2 linked regions of the Lonchura striata genome follow. The protein of the gene in region 2 interacts with the protein of the main gene of each other region in a biochemical or structural test. Links are inferred from orthologs where the notes say so. Each region holds a gene or a part of one and is shown on either strand. Other genes may lie near its edges.

Evidence for each region. The genes of interacting proteins can lie anywhere in the genome.
Region 1: the proteins of GLI3 (region 2) and ZIC3 form a complex in vitro, tested with the Homo sapiens proteins (2 studies listed by BioGRID). The link is inferred for Lonchura striata from reciprocal best matches to the Homo sapiens genes GLI3 and ZIC3.

What each region holds. Positions count from the first base shown.
Region 1 is NC_134616.1:339,522-349,125, reverse strand, and holds ZIC3 (zinc finger protein ZIC 3), read right to left. Parts: upstream 4,384-9,604; coding exon 3,342-4,383; intron 2,691-3,341; coding exon 2,527-2,690; intron 1,583-2,526; coding exon 1,400-1,582; 3' UTR 528-1,399; downstream 1-527. UniProt on the Homo sapiens protein: Acts as a transcriptional activator. Required in the earliest stages in both axial midline development and left-right (LR) asymmetry specification. Binds to the minimal GLI-consensus sequence 5'-GGGTGGTC-3'.
Region 2 is NC_134603.1:104,408,296-104,418,643, forward strand, and holds the start of GLI3 (transcriptional activator GLI3), read right to left. Parts: upstream 4,614-10,348; 5' UTR 4,507-4,613; intron 4,436-4,506; exon of another isoform or gene 4,302-4,435; 5' UTR 4,177-4,301; intron 3,644-4,176; exon of another isoform or gene 3,588-3,643; intron 2,918-3,587; exon of another isoform or gene 2,729-2,917; intron 1-2,728. UniProt on the Homo sapiens protein: Has a dual function as a transcriptional activator and a repressor of the sonic hedgehog (Shh) pathway, and plays a role in limb development.

The DNA.
Region 1 (9,604 bases), on a different chromosome or scaffold from region 2:
CGCGAAGTTTCTCGGGGGACATGTTCGATCTCGATGCCTCTTCTCTCCTGAAGACGGGAAGGTTTTTCCGCATCCTAGTCAGAAATAAAAACAGAACAAAACAAACCAGACGATAACGGAGACAATCCTGCCCGCCGCGAGGTCGCCCCGGGACCCCGCGGCAAGCAGCCCGCTGTCGGCGGGCCGGTCCGGCACGGGTGCGCAGCCCTACAGCCCGCGCTGCCCGGTACTCACCGGGTACTCACCGGGTACTCACCGGGCACTCACCGGGCACTCACCGTCGGGACCGCCCCGCTGCCCCCGTGGCTGCTCCAGCTCGCCGGCGCCGTGCCCCGACTTCGGCCCGCTCGGGAAGCCGCCGGGCGTGCAGGGCTGGGACAAAGGGGCAGCAGAGAGCGGCGGCGAGCAGGGCGCTTCCCCCGGCATCACCGGCTCCAAAACAACGGCCCGGCCCCGCTGGCAGCGCCATCCGGGCCCGCGACGGTACCCGCGACTCCCCATGCCCCGGAGGAAGTCAAAAACGGCTCTTTCCAAAACAATAAACTTTTAATGCTAAGGCAGTTATAACCAAAAGCTGTACAGAGTTGGATTTTTTTTGTTTGTATTTTTTTGTTAGAAAACAATTTTTTCTCCCCCATAAATATTGTTCAGTTCCCGGCACTTTGTATCAATAATTAAATTACGAACGATAAATATGGCATCATGGGTATGTATTTACAAAAAAAGTTATTACAAAAAGGCAACTGTTATACTAAACGTCACAATCTGGGCAGAATAAACACCACATCCTCATCCTGAAAAATACTGACCGACCCCATCAGACGAGAATACATTCACATGTGTAATGCTTGGAGAGAGAAGGAGAAAGAGAAGAGCAGAGAAAGAAGCAGCAAGAGAGCTAGAAAGGAAAGTTCAAGACATAACAGGACTTTGGCACGGTTTAAGACTGTAAGTTTAAACAATCACCACTAAGGCGAAGGAGAATTTTCATCCTCATGTCAACATCCCACCGAAAGAAAGAGAAAAAAAAAAAAAAAAACAAATTAAGAAAAATAAAATAAGTTGGGAATTGGAGGAAGAGAGACTCAGGCAAGGGGGGGGAGTGAAAACCAAAGAAATGACTGAGACTGAAAAAAATTACAAAAAAAAAAAAATCTAATCCTGAGAAAAGGACATGGCTAGTCCAGCGTCTGGGCTTGCAAAGAAATAGTAATAATTATAATATAATAATAAAAGACCCCCCTCCACATCCTGGCAGTCAAGTAGGTGTAGCACTATGCGGCCATCGGTGTGGAAACTCTATTTCCGTGGGAGCGAGCTGCAGTTGGCTTGGTTTGTCCTTTTTTTTGCCTCGTTCCCTATGCATTTGGTCCAGTCTGTGGCCGGGCAGCAGCTGCCTTCACACATACCACTCATTAAAATTGGGGGGCAGTCCAGGGTTATGGCCGGGGTTACTCTGCAGGGCGGCCGGCGGCGTTTTAGTGGAGTCCTTACTGCCGGCGGAGCCCACCGCAGGCGGGGTGGAGGACTCGTACCCCGAACTGGCTGCAGGGGAAGAGTCCGACCCTTGGGATTCGTGCACCTAAAACCAAGAGGCAGAGATGGGAGCGAGCTCGGGTCCTCCAGCACCCCGCGGGCCTGCTCCTCCATGCCGGAGGGACACGTGGAGCAGTGGCCGGGCCCTGCCTGGCAGTGGGCAGCTCACTCCTGGGGCAGCGGGCAGCTCACTCCCGGCCGGCGGGCAGCTCACGCCCGGCAGTGGGCAGCTCATGCCTGGCAGTGGGCAGCTCACTCCTGGGGCAGCGGGCAGCTCACTCCCGGCCGGTGGGCAGCTCACGCCCGGCCGGCGGGCAGCTCACGCCCGGCAGTGGGCAGCTCACGCCCGGCCGACGGGCAGCTCATGCCCGGCAGTGGGCAGCTCATGCCCGGCAGTGGGCAGCTCACGCCCGGCCGGCAGGCAGCTCACACCCAGCTGGCGGGCAGCTCATGCCCGGCAGTGGGCAGCTCACACCTGGCCAGTGGGCAGCTCACGCCCGGCCGGCAGGCAGCTCACGCCCGGCCGGCGGGCAGCTCATGCCCGGCAGTGGGCAGCTCACGCCCGGCCGGCGGGCAGCTCATGCCCGGCAGTGGGCAGCTCACGCTCGGCCGGAGGGCAGCTCACGCCCGGCCGGCCACTGAGCATCGGCAACAGACGCCTGCCGCGGCCCCCGGACACTGCTGCAGCGGCCTGGCCGGGGGGCTGCGGCATCCCAGCACGAGGGGCTGCAGCCACAGGCCGGGCTGCACTTGCACAGCCTGCCCGCACCGAGCCCCGCTCCACAAACCGGGCAGCGCCTGCACCAGCGGAAAAGAAACTGCGCCATTTCCCCGGGCTGTGCTCCAGCCACAGCCTAGACAGCGGGGACGGCTCGGGCCGTGCTCGGAACAAGGAGCTCAGCTCTGCTCCGGGGGAATGAGCCCTGAGCACACCAGCGACTGAGCATCACTGCTCAGGGAGGAAAGGGCTGGAGCACCGGCGTGATTTACCTTCATGTGTTTCCTAAGTGAGCTGGGGTGGGTGTAGGATTTGTCGCACACCTTGCAGATGTAGGGCTTGTCGGAGGTGTGGACGTGCATGTGTTTCTTCCTGTCACTGCTGTTGGCGAAGCGCCTGTCGCAGCCCTCAAACTCGCACTTGAAAGGCTTCTCACCTGTGAAATTTAGAGAGGGTGAAGGAGGGCCGTTCCTCTCTCCATCCTCACCCGCCTCCTCCAAGGACAGCATCTGCCCTGCTCGCCCCACCTTAGGGATGCACAAGCACCACAACAAATGAAGGGGAAGATGGACAGCAAGATTTGTTACGTGTCGGATAAATTTGGGTCAGGCTTTATGACTTTTAACTCACCTCCCGCCAGGCCCACGCTGGGCTCCAGCAGGGAAGGCAGCTGGGCGAGCTTGGGAAAGGAGAAGACCTGAGATAAATTCAGCGGCTCGGACAGCTTTACAAGACCTACTCGAGGATACAAGCCAAAGTACGTTTGCTTCCAGCCTTCCCCCTCTCTTCCCTCCACCCATGCAGGAGGGCTGAAGGAAAGTCGGGGCTGCAAATAAAAATACTTTGACAAAAGTATCGCCGATTTAATTAGAAGAGACGCCAATCAGGCCTAAAAATAAGAATAAAAAAGGAGCGGAAGTCACCGAAAACGAGGTTTCATTTGCATTTCTATGGTTCCCTCCGCTCCGGAGGCCGAGAGCGGAGGCAGCGCCGCGCAGCTCACACGCCGGCCGCCACCGGCCCGGCCCGTCCCGCAGCCCCGGAGCCCCCCGTCCCGGGCGGGGGAACACACGGACACGGGCCTTACCTGTGTGCGTCCGCTTGTGAATCTTGAGGTTCTCGGAGCGGGCAAAGATCTTGCCGCAGCCCGGGAAGGGACACGGGAAGGGCTTTTCCCCCGTGTGCACCCGAATGTGATTCACCAGTTTGTATTTCGCCTTGAAGGACTTGCCTTCCCGCGGACACTCGTCCCAGTAGCAGATGTGGTTGTTCTGCTCCGGCCCCCCGACGTGCTCCATAGTGACGTGGGTCACCAGCTCGTGCATGGTGCTGAAAGTCCTGTCGCAGCTCTTCTTGGGCCGGCTGAGCTGGCTCTCGTCGAGCCACTTGCAGGACAATTCTTGCTTGATGGGCTGGCGCATGTACCGAAAGAAAGCGCCGGGGCCGTGGTGGTGGTGGTGGTGGTGGTGGGCCGCCACGTTCATGCCCATATTCATATTCATGTGGTTGTAGTTGTGGAACTGGGCGCCGGCGTAAGGGTCCGTGCGGGGGCTGGAGACGGCCCGGTAGGGATCCGGCCGCCCGAAGAGGTCCCCGCGCAGCCCCAGGTGCATCTGCCCGTTGTCCACGTGCCCGTTGGGGGACGTGTGGCTCGGGCTCTGCTCGTGCAGCCCCGGGAAGAGCAGGTAGCCCGGGGTGTCCGGGATGCCGCCGGGGCCGTGCAAGCCGCCGGGAGAGCCGCCGAAGAGCCCGTGCTGCGCCGTGCCGGAGGCGGCGTCCGCGATGCCGGAGCCGCGGTTGCGGAACAGAAAGTCGCGGGTGGAGTTGAAGGCGGCGGCCCCGCCGTAGGAGGGCACCTGGCCGGCGTGGTGGTGGTGATGGTGGTGGTGGCCCAGGGCGCTGGCGTAGCCCGGCGCCTGCGGCGTGAACGCCGAGCTCTGCCCGGCGGCGAGGTCGTGCGGGGCCGCGTTCAGCTTGAAGGCGGCGGCGTGCGAAGAGTCCCCGAAGGGGCCCAGCCCCATGCCGCCGCCGGCGGCGTCGCGGCCCGGCATCTCGTGGTGGCGGGGCGCTGCGAAGCCGCCCACCCCCAGCGCCGGGAACTGCGGCCCTCCGTCCAGCAGCATCGTCATGGGCGCGGGGCCGTCGGCGCGGCGGCAGCCTGCCCGCCCCCCCTCCTCCTTCCGCCCGCCCCCAAAAAAGTACAAAACCACCCCAAAACGCACCCCCACTCCGCCCCCCGCTGCGGGCAGGCGCGGCCCCGGCCGCGGGCGGGCAGCGAGGCGAGCACCCCACGACCGACACAAAAGCAAAACAAAACCAAACCAAAAAACAACCAAAAAAAAAAAAAAAAAAAAAAAAAGAAGAAGATAAAAACCCCAAAACCAAAACCCCAAAAGCCAAAGCAGCCACCCGCCCCCCGCGCCGCGCCGGTCGGGCCGGGCGGCGCAGCAGGGCAGGAGGCGCGGGGCGGCCGCGCTCCCGCTCGGCGCCGTCGGGGCACTGCCGGGCGCCCGAGCGCGCCTCGCACATAAACCGAGCCCGGGCCGCGCCGCGCCGCGCCAATGGGGGCCGCGCGCCGCCCGTCACCTGACCCGCCGCCCGCCGCCCCATTGGCGGCACCGCGCTTGATTGGCACGCGCCCCGCGCCGCCGCGGCCGCTGATTGGGCGCGCGCGCCCCGCAGGTAGAGCGGGGGTGGCCGGGGGGGCCCGGGCGGCGGGAGCGCCGCGGAGCCCGCGCCCGGCCCGGCGCGGCTCGGCGCGGCTCGGCCCGCCCTGTGCCGCCGTGGCCCGGCCCGGCCCGCCGTGGCCCGCCGTGGCCCGGCCCGGCCCGCCGTGGCCCGCTGTCTGCCACCGTGTCCCGCCGTGTCCCGGCCCGGCCCGCCGTAGCCCGCTGTCTGCCGCCGTGTTCCGCCGTCTGCCGCCGTGTTCCGCCGTCTGCCGCCGTGTCTCGGCCCGGCCCGCCGTGTCCCGCCATGTCCCGGGACCCGTGTGTCCCGCCGTGTCCCGGTCCCGCCGTGTCCCTGTCCCGCCGTGTCCCGGTCCGGTCCCGCCGTCTCCCGGCCCGGACCCGTGTGTTCCGCCGTGTCCCGCCGTGTCCCAGTCCCGCCGTGTCCCGGTCCGGTCCCACCGCGTCTCGCTGCCCGTGCCCTGCCAGCGCCGCCCCACGCCGCGCGGGATGCTCGCCCTGGGCGGCGCGGCGGGGCGGCGTAAAGCCTCTGCAAAGCCGCCGCGTTGGTTCAAAAATAAAATTTAATTAAAAAAAAAAAAAAAAAGGAAAGCTAAAGCCGAGGCTGTTTACAGTTTATTTCTGTATGCATACATTTATATATAATCATATATACTTTATATATCTGTTTCAGTTTTCTATTCATTTTTACCCTTACTGAGTAAACCCGAGAGCAGAGCCGCTCGCTCCTGCCTCTCCGCCTCGGTGCGCAGCGTGCCCGGGCCGGGGTCACCCCGCCGGCCGAGCCCAGCCCCTTTCCCCTGCCCCGTCCCCCACCCCCTGCCGACCCGCGGGGGGCGGCCGAGCAGCGCCCGCCACGGCGGCTCCGAGCCGCTTTCTTCCTGCTCTCGTTCATTCTTTCTCTTTCTTTCTCTCTTTCTCTCTCATTTTTTCCTTCTTCCTTTCTCACTTTCTCATTTTTTCCTTCTTCCGTTCTCTCTTTTTATCCCCTTTCTTTCTTTGTTTTTATTATTTTATTTTTTAATATTTTATTTTGCAAGGGAAATGTTCTGCCTTGGAATAATTATCAGTTGCAGACAGCGCTATAAATCCACTCATTTTCTGTTCTGGAAAGCATTTGCAAAGAACTATAGGGAGCAAGAGTGAAAATAAAAGGCAGAAAGAAAGATGGCTGTAATTGTAATATCCTGAGGTTTGCTGAGCCCCCAAGTCTGGCTATTGGGCAGGTCTCAGGCTCGCCGCCGGCTCTCTGCAGGAAACGTAAAATCTGATCAAGTTCAGAGACGCATTGAGAGCCCGCTTCAAGCAGCGCTTTATTACCGCGGCCCTTTCACATTCTTCCCCCCAATCAGCCCCGGGAAAGGCTTCGTCTTCTTTATTTTAAGGATTGCAGGGGGCGAGTAAAAGAAAAATTAAAAAAAAAAAATAAAAGTAAGAGAGGAAAAAAAAAAAAAAAGAAGAAGAAAGAAAGGGGACAAAAAAAAAGCCACCGATATAAAATCTCCCCGAGAGATAACACCAGTGCCCGTCAAACACTCAAATTTCCCAGGCCACAGCCGCCAAGAACAGTCCCAAAGTTGGAAGGTGAGTCCGCCGCTGCCGTTAGTGCACGATGGCAACAGAGCAGAAGGAGGGAGCGCGGGGACCCACCGTGGCACCCACCGTGGCACCCACCGGGGCACCCACCGTGGCACCCACCGGGGCACCCACCGTGGCACCCACCGGGGCACCCACCGGGGCGGTCGGGGCCGCGTTCTTGCTCTCCCCGCTCCAGCCGCGGCTGCTCGCGGGCGGCGGGGGAGCCGGCGGGATCGCAGCCCTCGCCGCGGCTCGGCCGGGAGCCCGGGCGCCGGGAAGCCGGGACAGGGCCAGGGGTAGCCGGTCACATCGGCCCCCGGCGGCGACGCGGCGAGGCCCGCAGCCGCCTTGCTGCTCCGCTGAGGCTCTACCTGCCTGTCTCCGGAGGGCTGCGCCGGGGTCATTAATTATATTTACCTCCCGCACGTGTAGGGTTTTCTTTCTCGACAACAACCAACCCACAATAAAAATTAAAAAAAAAAAAAAAAAAAAAGGAAAGAAAGAAAAAAAGGGGAAAAAAAAAAAAAAGGCCGTGGGGAAGGGGTTGGAACTTCAATTATTCCCGTCAGCTGAGCGTCGGGGAGGGCAGAGCCTCTGAAGTCGCCGACCTGGAGCGACCGAGGGCGACTGACCCCTGTTTGTGCAGAGGCCTCACGTGCGGCATTGTGTCCCCCGTGGGTGGGACGCGCCGCGCCGGGCCGGGCCGGGCCGGTGGCGGTGGCGGAGCGGCGCTGCCCGCCCAGGTGCTCACACCACGCGGGGCTGCGGCTGCCCCGACCGGCGGGCGTGGGAAGGGAGGCGCGGGTGTGGGCTGGGAAACCCTCCGGCGTGGCGAGAAAGAGCGACTGTGGCTCCACAGAGGCAGAAGATTTAAAAAAAATAAATTTAAGTTGTTTTCCGCCTAAAAAAAAAATCTCATCGGCAATGGCGCGACGGCGGTGCTTCGAGAAAAATATCCCGAGGGGCTGGGATTGGGGAGAAAAACGAAATAATCGTAATTTTGGACGAGGAATATCCGTTTCGGGACGGCTTGCTGGCCACAGCCTGCCTAGCAGCTGTGTATGGCGGATTGGGCTACATCAATTAACCTATAAATCTTTTTATACGTTTCCCACTTCTACTCTGCCAACTTTGCCTGGGTGTGTGCACCCGGCAGCATCCGCACTGGTGTTCTGTCACTATTTGCACTCCGTCGCATCCTGACTGGAATTTGCCAGCTCGGGGAGCAAAAATTGTATAAAACGAGGTGGGGTTTTTTTGTTTGTTTGTTTGTTTTTTTTTTTTTAAAGGCATTGTCTGTGTAGCCTATGATCGTTTTTCCCTTGCTGAGCTTTCGGAATATGTGTGTATATATATATATATGTGTGTGTGTGCGTGTGTGTGTGTGCGTGCGTGTGTGTGTGTGTGTGTGTGTGTGTGTGTATGTATGTATGTATATAAAAATATGTATTTTATACTTTATTTTATAAATTCAGTAATTTCCATTTTTATTCAGTGGTATTTCTGGCCAAACTCAATTCATTTTCCAGAAGTCGGGGTACCTCTCATCTCTTCCATTTAAAATCTATCTCAATTGCAAACATGCAAACAACAACAACCGTAAAAGTAGTCTCCAGGCTCCCTTTTCCCTCCGTGCTCCCAACGTGTGGGGAAGGCAAAGAAAGACCCCGTGCTTTACGTCAAGAACAAATATTGTGCAGTTCTCCCACCTTTTTGGGTTTTTTTGGGGTTTTTGTTTTTTTTTTTTTTTTTAGTTTGTTTGTTTGTTTGGTTGGTTGGTTGGTTGGTTGGTTTTTAGATTTGTTTTGTATTGTTTTGTTTGTTTTTTGTTTTCCTTTTAAGTGTTTTTGGAACTTAAGAGCTGCAAAAATTTCAAATGCCCTGGGAAGCGTTGGGGGTCCCTCCGTGCCCAGAGCCCGCCGGGACCTCCCTGCCGGGCTTCCCGGGGATCCCGGGGATGAACGCGGCCCCGTCCCAGCACCCCGGCGCGGTCCGGAGAGCCTCGCCAGGAGGAGACCGCGAGGTCTCGGGCCTCCAGCGCAGGAGGAAAACGCGGTCCCCAGCGGGTGCCCACGCTTTATGGCACATTCCGCAGCGGGCCAGGGGCAGGTGAAGTTTCAGCAACGGCCCCAGGAGCTCCAGATCGGAGGCTCCGTGGATTTCCCTTGTGCCTTACACCGAGGATGCGAGGAAAAAGCAGAACAAACCCGGGATAACAGCAACAAAAGTCCCCTCGCGCTGAGCTGAGAGACGGCGGCGAGGGGAATATTCCATCCACCCTAAAGAGCTTTTAAACCGCGCTGTATCGCGGCTAAATGAATATCCTTAACAAGCGTAAAGACAAGTAGTTTTTCTCCTGCCATAAACATATTGCATCTCCGGTGTAATTATATGCAAACCAGGAGCGAACGAGACATTTCCATTGTAGCTGTCACTCAGCGGAGGGGGAAGCACATGTACATTTGAACTTCAGAGATCTGGGCTGGAGTAAACAGGTCTGAACTTCGGCAACGGGAGGGGGCGAGGAATATCAAAGGCCAGACGGAGGCAGGCAGAAAGACTGGAGTGGCGAGGAAACGTAGGTGCCAGCGGGCTCCCCTGCACCCCGTGGAGCCGGGCCGACACCGACGCTGGCAACCTCGCCCGGGCACCAGGGCTTGTTGCTCGTTTTGTGGTGATGGGGAGAAGTTTCCCCCCTAAAATGAAGATCACCGTTCAGCTGCGTGGAAAATATGCATCAGGCTCGGAAGCGAGTGGGAAAACCACGAGGACTGGTTCAAGTGCTGCAGAAGAAATTGTGTCCTGTCGCCCAAATGGGGCCAAGGCAAACCTAGGAGCAGGGAACAACGGGTGCCGCAGCCCTACGGGAAGCTGAGGAGGCTCCCTGCGCCTTGGGGTGCCCACACACCGGAGTCAGCCCAGGAAAGGCCACAGTCTGCAAGGGGGAAACACCCACCCCTCATCTCTCCCATCCCCTATCCCTCGCTAAGCCATCAGGAGGAGGAACAGTGCAGACCCGCGAGCGGACAGCGGGGCAAGCCGGGGCCTCGGCACCCCGGCCCGGCCGAGAGCATCCGTGCCCTCC
Region 2 (10,348 bases):
GGAACACATAGCATATTTAATCTGCAAACTGTGAGAGTCTACAATGATTTCAGCAAGATCTGAGGCATGCCCTCAAGGTTTGCTGGGATCTGGGATTAGGGAGTTGATAAGAACCCTCTACTGCCCATGGACATGTTTTTCTTCTGCAGTTAAACACAAATGCATAGAGACGTTTGACTGCTGCTTGGCGTTACTGCTCAAGTTATATAAAAGCTTTGCAGCTCCTTTTGCTGTCAATATATCAAAGTTTAAAAAAAATCATCAAAGTGTGAAATTTCATTTAAAGTCTGCCAGTCTACAGCTCTATTTCACAGACCTATCAAATAAAAGTAAAGATGAAAAATGCACTGAAAGAACTTGAAAAGTTTGCAGCAGCACCCATGCCCTATTTTTGTTTATTCTGTCTCATTTTATTTGATTTTAAAGTATAACAAATCAATTCCCTTATAAAAATGACAGAGTCTAAAGGGAGGATGTCTATAAAACCTGTGGTTAAAAGACAACTTGAAATCATTATTACAGCTGAACCTTTTGTTAAATAAAAGCTTCCTCTGTAGCCATTTTAGCATTTTAATTGCCTAACTGCAAGTTGGCAGAAAATATCTTGAATCTTCCAAAACAACCAGAATTACTACAGAATATGAGTGCCAGAAAAATTAAAGCTTTCTTCAAAGTATTCTTTTGCTAGGGATTTACAACAATTGCATAAAGAAGAAAAGCCTGACTTTTAAGGTAATCTATCTATAGTCTAAAAGCATTAACATTCCACTAGTAAGGTTTTCCTGAGGATTTCATGACTCGTTGATTCACTTTTCCTTCAACTTTGCTTTTTCTTTGTACATTTCTGTGTCCATATAGTTGAACACATGCAACACTGATCATTAAAATGCCTCCTTCCATAACTTCAAATAAACCCTGCTTTAATAGCTCTCAAATTCCTTATTTATCAGGCAGAGATGACTAACTTTTTACTAACACTCTGCAACATAAAAATATGCCATTCCTTCCTCTAATATGCAGACTAGAATTCAAATACACTACAGGAGTACAGGTAATTGAATAGCTTTCCCCAAAACGAGGCAGGAAGTGTAACCGAAACTTTCATGGGTCACTATCAGTGCATACATTAATCTTGTTAAAAATTCGAGTAATCTGCAAGATGAACAAATTATAATGATGTCTCCAAACTTGAGTATTTTGGTTTTTCCAACACTATTCAGAAAAAAAAAAAAAATCATTTATAGTCATTGATACTTTAATTTCTTAGTTACACACTGTTTTTGTGTTTGAAAACGAACAATCTTTTACAACTGATGATTACGTATAGCAGTAATAACTCTTTCTTGGCCACTGCACACCTTCTCAAGCCAAAAATGTTTCTCTGTTTATGCAGGAAAATGCAGGTGATGTCTTTGTTTTGCAGTAGTCTACAGAAAAGCTATGGAAAACAGCATGTCCTGCTGAAAACCATATGCTATTACCAGAATGCAAGGTTGCATTCATTTGGGCACCTTAAGCCACAGTTTTGCTTCCACTGCTACTTAAAAGAATACACATACACTGAGAGAGTCCTTTTCTTACTCATTCTTCCTACTCATTCAAAATCACATAATCCTGCTTTTAAAGAAATAATTCCCTGTCCTTAAAATAGCCTCCTCTCATAGTTACTATTATTTATGCTTTTAGAATTGGGCTATACACAAAACTGAAAGTATTTACATACTAGCTGGTTATACCCAAACCTTCCTTATATAAACAAACTCTCAAGAGGCTGCCTACAGTTTACATTGCTAAACTCATTCACCATTACTTTTAATATATATTTCCACGACTGAAATACAGTGAAGATGGCAGTTTTTACATTTTTGGATTACTTTACTTTTAAAACACTGCATTCGTCTTCCTTCAAAATAATCATGACATATATAATTAAGAAACTGTCAGATCATTATCAATTTTTAATAAAGGACCTAAATGAAATAATTATAGGAATCAATCAGTGAGGCACCTCTCCAAATTACAATGCAATTGCACAAATATTCAAACTACTTAAGGCCAGTTCTGGAACATTTCAATCCATAATCTCTTTAAACACCACAACAAAACCAATTTTGGAACACAGAGAAACATAGTGATTTCTCACTATTCCAGTGACTTAAACGATTTCAAAACAGATACCTACAGCACAGAGAGACAGAGAGGCAGCCGTGCCCTCCTAAAAATGTTTCTTGGTTTAATCAGCCACATGTCTCAAGGCCTCTGGAAAATTTTGCTTCCAAGTTTTTCTGTAGCACGCACACAAAAGAAACGAAGTCTGCACGCTGAAGCTTAAAAAATCATGTTTATTGAGGCTTGCAAATGAAGCGGGAAGTAGCAAGGGTGCGACGAAGAGGAGCATTTTGCCGTGGGTTGCTACTTAATGTTCTTTTAGTGAAGTAGCCTCCAAAACGTGACACTGTGTATCAAACAGACAGCTATCCGTACCTCTGACTAAAAGGCTCTTTGAGATGAGTACAGTCCATCATTTCAAACTGAAGTGGCAGCTGGAAAATGTGGAACAGCTGGCAAGGAGCTGGGAGAAAATGTTTTACATAAATGTATCTACATACAAACTGGCAGAAGGCCACGGACACCGTACCCGCAGGACCGGATAAAAACTACGCACCAGAGGGTTAAAAACAAAACTGGGGAGTGAGATGGGGAGCGAGGGGCGTGTGTTTCCTTTTACCTTTTCTCTTCACGTGGTGCGCGGGTTGGGGAGCGGGCGCTAGCAGCTGCGAGCCGGCGGGCCCGTCCGAAGGCGCGGGGATTGTGCCAACACCCACCGACTTCACGGGACAATCGGAACCGCGGCGGGCGCGCCGCGCTCCCATCCTGCAAAGTTGGGCGGTGCACGGCCGGGCCGCGGTGCCGGCCCGGGGCGGCTCCGGGGCGCTCCCGCGGGGCGGCCGCGCCGCTCCTCCCGCCCGGCCTCGGCCGGGCCCGTCCCGCCGCCCCGCTCCCGCCGGACCCGCGCCAGGGCGGCGCGGAGCGGCCGAGCGCGCTGCTCACGGAGCCGCCGGCACCCCCGCGCCCCCCTCCGGGACCCGACCGTCCCCTTCCTCGCAGGGAGCAGCCGGCAGGGAACGACGACCCCCGGGCGCCCCTCCGCCCCGCCAGATGTGACAGCGGATTCGCCCCCGCTCCTCTCGCCTTTCCCCCTGCGAAGTTTGTGCCGGCCTCCCGCCGCACGGGCGTGAAAACCCCCTGGAGTCGCTCAGGGAGTAGGGGCGAGGAGAAAGAAGGGGGTGGAAATAAAACAGCAGCTGTCGCCCGCACATCGGCAGCTCTGCCGCGGGACGTGCCCGGCCGAGCCCGGCTCGGAGCGGGGACTGCCCTCGCCTCGCCCCGCACCCCGCGCCCTCGGCTCCCGCGCTCCGTGACAGCCATTTTGGGGGTTAGACACCTCGGTCCCCCCCGACCCCCGCCTCCAAGTTAGGGAAGCGGGAAGCGGGCCGGGAGCGGGGCCGGAGCGCTGGGAGACGACAAGAAAGTGGCCCGGAGTAGAGCCGGGGAACAAAGAACTTCTCGCCCAAGTGGGTACGTACCTGCCGCCGCTGCCGCCGACCCCCGCGCTGCCCATGGGCGAGGGCCGGGACCGCCGGCTCGTCCCCGCGCCGCTCCGCCGCCGCCGCGGCTAGCGGGGCCGGCCCCCGCCGCGGCCGGCGGGCATCCCGCGGGGCAGGGGGACGGGACGGGACACAGGCGGGACGGGGGCGGCAGAGGAGGGCCGGCGGGTGTTGGTGCTGGTTGTTTTATCCCTGCCCGCCTCCCGCGGGGAGCAGCCCGCGCCTCTGCCTCCGTGTGGGGGTGTGTGTGCGCGGGTCCGACATCAGTTTCAGTGATCTTGTAATCTGATCCCTTCTGACTCACTCGCACTGACTGACATTTCTGATTCGGTTCAACAAAAAGAGCAGAGGGGAGGAGAAAAAGAAGAAAAAGAAGAGAGGGAGCAAAAGAAAAAAAAAAAAGTATCCCCAAATCTACGGCCTGGTACCAGTTTTGGTGGGGAAGGGGGAACCCCTCCGTCCCGTCCCGTGCCGCCCGTCCCCTCCAGCCCCGCCACCGCCCCGCATTGTTTTGGCTCGGCGCAGCCACCGAAGGAGGGGAACAAACACATCGCGCCGAGGTACTCACGTGTCGGAAAAGTTGTCCCTCTCTCTTTCCTCCGTCTCGCGCGCTCCTCTCCGCCGCCTCCTTCAAGTTTTACAGATGTTGCAGGGCTGCTCGTCGTCGCCTCCCCCTCCTCCCAGCGCTGCCCTCTGGATCAGATCAGGGGAAAGGCTCTTTAGGGATAACTCCCGATTCAAACACCCTCCGCTAAACTTTCCCCATTCCCTCCCCTTCCTCTGAGCGGCGGAGAGGGCTCCGCTTTCCTTCCCCCCTTCCCTCCGCCCGTTCGGGACGCGGCTGGCTGCTGCCCGGGGCGCGGGTGCCCCGGGCGCGGCGGGGAGCGGGGCCGCTTGCCTGGGGGAGCGGCGGAGGGCTGCGCCCCGGGGTGCGGGTCGGGCCGCGGCCTGCCGGGCTGCGACGCGAGCTCTCGGCATGACACCCCCGCTCCCCCCTTCCTCCTCCTCCTCCTCCTCCCCCGCCATCCCCCCGGCCCGGCCCGGCCCGCCCCGGCGGCGGCCCAAGGGCGGCGACACCCCGCCCACAGCCAGAAGGCAGCGCGGGGCGACGGCGGGTCCCCCCCGGAGCGGCCCCTCCGCCTCGGGTCGCGCTTCCTCCCTCTCCCTCCTCTCCCGCTCCATCCTTCGGCTCAGCCTGCATCTGCAGCCCCATTTCCCGCGCACCGATGCCTTGGACACCCCCTTTTCCCGCCCGCCAAAAATCCAGGGCTTTTTGGGGGTAAACGTGCCCTTCGCGTGGGTTTTCTGTGTATGCTGCGCCTTTTGGGCTCACGTTCGCTCTGGCGCAGCAGGCTGACTTGACTGAAGGACTTCAAGGAAAGTTTCACCTAAGCCATGTGACACCGACAGATAGCTCTTTTGGAGAAAAAATACAAGTGCTTTGTCGAGGGGAAAAGTGGCGGTGATGCCTGCGCCGGCTCCTCCTTTCCCAGCCCACCTGCCAGCCTCCTCAGCACCCTGCCAGGCTCCTCTGGCCTTCAACCTACGAAACAGGGCTCTCAGCTGCCTCCGTCTTTGGCCCTCATCTCCGTTCTTCCTCCGGGCTCCTTGCGAGCAGGTTTCTCACAACAGCATGCTGCAGTCCAGAAATAGCAAGAACTAGGATGCCATTTGTTCCAGTATCTCCATCCTTCGGGAAATGATGTGTCCTGACAAGACACCTTACATTTCCAAAGTTTGCAGATTGCTCCCTGATATTAAAAAAGTCTGAGAAACCGTAAATTAACACTACCACAACCATTTTCCATCAAGTCACAAGGTGGGACTGGCTCTCGGGAAAAGTATATGTGTATATATATATATAAATATATTTAAATTGCTGCCGTCACAATATCAGATACTTTACATGCACTTTTGTTCATAACCTGACTCACAACACAGCCAAGTAAAGATTTGTTACTGATACATGCAATTTAGCAAGGTACCCGAGCTTGGGCTACATTTGGAAAGTCCTCAAAAAATTAGTGGTTCTTGACAAAATGTTATGTTTGCTGATGGAAATGAAAGACTGATTTGATGCTGTGTATTTCATAAAGCTTCTCTTAGTCTCACCATTGAAAATGTTGATTTTATTACAAAACAAAGCTGCAGGTATTTGTGGTTTGAGATTACTTGGTCCACTAGTTTTTTAAAAACAAAGAGAAAGCAATCTTACCTAACTCAAAGGGCCACTTCAACCCTAATTTCCTCAGGCTAACTGGCTTGGTGTTGTTTTTCACCTGTAAATCTTTTCTGGGTGCAAGAAGTAGCTTTAGCGAGATGCCTATAATACATGGATGTTCCTGCTACGGTCAGACTAATTGCCCTGGCGGTCCCAGGGATGCCTTTTATATGCACATTTTACAGCACCAGGTCAGCACAGCCTGACTTTCAGGATAGACACAGTAGTCAGATGCTGTCACACTGAGTGAGAGTTGCACATTGTTCAAGCTGCCACGCATGCCCGGGCACTGTTGGAGGTGGGCACCGGGGACCAGATGAGAGCCTGTGCTCTGGTGCCATGCCTCCGAAGCCAGTGATTTCACAGCACACCAAGAGACAAATCTGCCCCTGCTCCGAAGGAGCAGCCCCTGGCTGCCCAAGCAATACTGCTGACATGCATAGTGCTACACAGGGAAGAGGCATGTGCAACACCAGCATCTGAATGCCAATATGAAGAGCTGATATTCTTCCAACTTTTTTATCTTATATGACTTCCTTTTCCAGTCTCATGTTCCCAGGAAAATGTTAGCTGTTTCATGATATATGATAATAGTGGTGTAGTACTGCGGATGTTTTGTTTTAGCTATATGTGCTATATACACCACCATATGTATGTACTTTATGTGACATGCACACCACCCCCTGATACATATATATGTGCTGGGGGAGTGCTGGTGCACAGAGTGATTAGGCAAACCTCAGGTCCCTTTACAGATATGTTTAAGAGCAATATAATTCCTTCGGCCCATTGTACTCTTCTCTCATTTTCTGCCTCTTGCTTATTCCTTTCTATTTTATGCAATCAATTTTCTTAAACTCTTTTTTTTTTCTCTTTGTATAATGAAAACCCTTAAAAGTAACAGGGGAAATTAACCAACATCCAAAATGATACTTTGTAAAAGAAACAAATTAATGTGGAAAATCCTGTTTGACTCACCATTTATAATTCAGTATTGCTGATGTTAAGATACTGCTTTTAATAAAAGCTTAAAAGACATTTAAACTGGGGCATGATTTTGAGACTGGGCCTTCAGGTCAGTATTCATCTTAGACTTTTTAAAAAAATAAGCTATTTCCTCAGAGTTTGGACATCTTGTTACATCATGAAACAGCTCTTTGAGTTTTGGGGGTTTTTGTTTGTTTTTAATATTATTCACACCAACTCTTCTCAAGACACATATTTCTAATTTGAGATAAATAACCCAAAGCATTTCTCTACACTCAATTCACATTAAGACAGACCAAAAAATATAAAGAGGTGATAGAATGCTTTAACATTTGCTTATGAAAAATAGCTTTCTGATGCATTTTTGAGCAGTGAAAGTCTTGAGAGAAGGGAAACACAGAAACAATAACTGAAGTTTCTGCTTGTGCCTCTGTCTGCTCAGGCCAAGCAGAAAATAAAAACTGATGGTGAGTGGGTGACATTTGCCATTTGAAACGTACTGTAAATGTTTCAACACCTTGACAATGAAGAGTGCAAAAGAAGCTTAGAACATCCAACCCTTCAGCTTAACAAAATGAAAATGGGCAGCTCTGTTCAGGGAGGTGCCTTTCTTATCATCTTTCATGTCTGATTCAGAGGAATCGTACTTGAAAGATGCAATGGGAAGACAAAAACTACACATTAATAAAACATAATGATTTTTCCACGTCTGGATTGCGCCTCCAAGAGAAATTAACCTCTGAGATTTGTCTATGATGTTTCCCTGCAAGTAGGAATTGGCTCCTGCAGAAGACCTGTTGACCTGTTACAAAACTCATTTCTCTGACTCAATATGCCACAACCACAGGGCATTTCTGCTGTGAGTTATATCATGCATGATACTTTTGCATTTCTTCAGCCTACCTTGTCTCCCCGCTTCTTCTCAGCCTCTGACTTGAAAATTACAGTCCTCCAAGGTGTGCATTTGTCTTCTCCTTTTGCTGCACCTGTTGTTACAGGAAAGCACAGTCAGAAGGAGCAGAGACTCTGCTCATAAGCTGTATGCAAAAGACCTGATATTCAGTGACACCAAGAACCAGTCTCCTCACCACTCCCAGGTGCACCACCCTCCACCTTCTCTCCAATCCCAGCAAATGCTCTACAGGACATATTCAAGGACCTTAACTGTTGCTGTTTATCCAGTTGACATCCAGTAGAAGACAAAGGTTTTAAAACAGTCCCTTTCTTGACAGTAGGCAATTACAAGAATACATTCTATGAAATAGGTCTGCTGTGATTTCACAGGGACAACCTCAGGTAAAGCTGTGGAATATGGAGCAACGGCACCGATTTCTGGTCATTTATGCAATATCCATCACAAGAGAGCTTGACCAGTGCATCTTGCCCCTACCTACATATCTCCTGTGTTGCATGGCTGCCTCTTACAGCAGATGTGTCTCAAGAGTTACCTAGTGGAAGGAAAAGAGGAGTATAAGATGGTATCATGTCAGAATCCTCAAAGTCTGCACAAGCTGCAGCTGGGGGCACAAGGAAAGATTCATGGCCCAAGGTGGGATGAAGAACTGGTGCATGGAGGCAGCCACATTTGGGAAGGATATAAAGGTCAGGCAAAAACCTTATCTGCAGTTACTGTCAGGCAATTGATTTAGAAAAGGCAAATGATGTGGGGTCTGAGAAACAACTAATTGTTTGGTTCTGAAAGAAATTATAAACTGATGTGCCACTACACACTAGTGTAAATTAGTAACTTTGGATCCTTTCATTATTTGGATGTTTGATTTTTATTACTGCCATTGAAAAAAAAAAAGGAAATTTATCAGCAAATATCCAGATGTGTCAAATAGCAACCTTCATTCAGGAGTCTCAGTTTTCTAAGGATGGTCATTGCAGCCTTTCACAGACTTGATATACATAATTCCTCTGGTAGTCCATAGCAAGGAACCACTATATCTTTCTCCTTCTTTTGCTAACACTGGGGACATTGCTAGATTTCAGTGGAAAAAGGACTGAACCCTAATGATCAGATTTATCTTTCTACTCTAGCAGATCATTTTTTGTACACCGTCCTATTTCTCTGAATGGTGAATCTAACTAACCTAGCTATTTATAACATATAGTCATGATTAAGTTTTTTGAATACTGTATAATAAAATTAAACAGTGAATAATATAATAAAATATAATATAATTAAAATGCAGTTTATTTTTATCCCCTTCTATCTTGTAAATATGTAAAATTACATATTTATTTTTCAGATTCTGTTGTGATTACTGAAGGAAAATTAAGACTAAGAGATGAGTTTTACACACAGACAAAAAGGACAATTTTATGCAGTAAATTCTTTACTTTTGGACTGTCTACATAGAAAGTCTGAGTTCTCCATCTCTTAAATACTAACTTATTAAAATACTTTCACCCTCCTTGACTTTAGATGTATGTTTGCATTAAAACTCTTCATTACTATGAACATTCTTCAGAAGAATATTTTCTTCTTACAGGAAATTAAAATGGTGTTGTTCTGCGTGAGATATTTTGATATATGACCATAAACACACCAAACAAACAAGCAAGGGAGTTTCCTTTGTTTGCTTTTAAAAGCACCCTGTACATGTTAATTAACAGGCAGGTAGCATATGGAGGAAGAGCAGAGTGTCTTTAACAGGCTACATCCAATAAAGACACAAAAATCATAACATTTCACACAGATTAGGCATAAATACTCTTTTTGCTATGCTGTAATAAGAAATGAAATTGCTAATGGTGATGATATTTAGTTTGTTATAATTAGCTAGATCATCATTAACATCCACTTTAAATGATCTGGGATACTTTCAACCTCTCTAGGGAGTTGTCTCAGCTTCTCTCCCAACTGAGCCATTGAGCTACAAGTGAAAGGATTTAGCAGTATTTTGTAGGGTATAGTCAGAAGCCATTATCCAGGAGATATAGTTTATATAGACTGTTCTGGTAGAATTTAAACCAATTCCTTGAATGGAATCACCTTTATCAGAAGAAAGGACAGTTTTTTCTAGCATATCCAACCCTATGTTAGCATTGCCTATTATAGTTGTGTCAGTTGGGATGGGGGGATGGGAAGAATATCACAGAGATATAAAGGATCCATCAAAATGTCTTTTTTTTTGTCAGTTGTTGATGCAGTGAATTGGACAGACACATTCTGAGGTGAATTCACACACTCCCCTAGGAAATGGCTGGGTTTTCCCCTAAATCTTAAATCTACTAGCCAACATTTTAAAGCATGCTCAGATACCATGGAAGGCTTGTAGTTTCCAGACTTTTTGTCAGCCTCTTAAGTAATTATTTCAGTAGTTGGTGAATACCCATTGTTCTAGTCCAAATGCACATACAGTGCATTTGTTTGCCTTTTTTTTTTAACGGCAATAGAAAAAAAATAGATTCATTGCTTCTATTTCATTCTGGCTTTGTATAGCTATAGAGATATTGCTTAGTGGGCATTTGCAAATGTCTTTTTCCTAATATGTTAATGCTACATATATTAATGTACTACTAC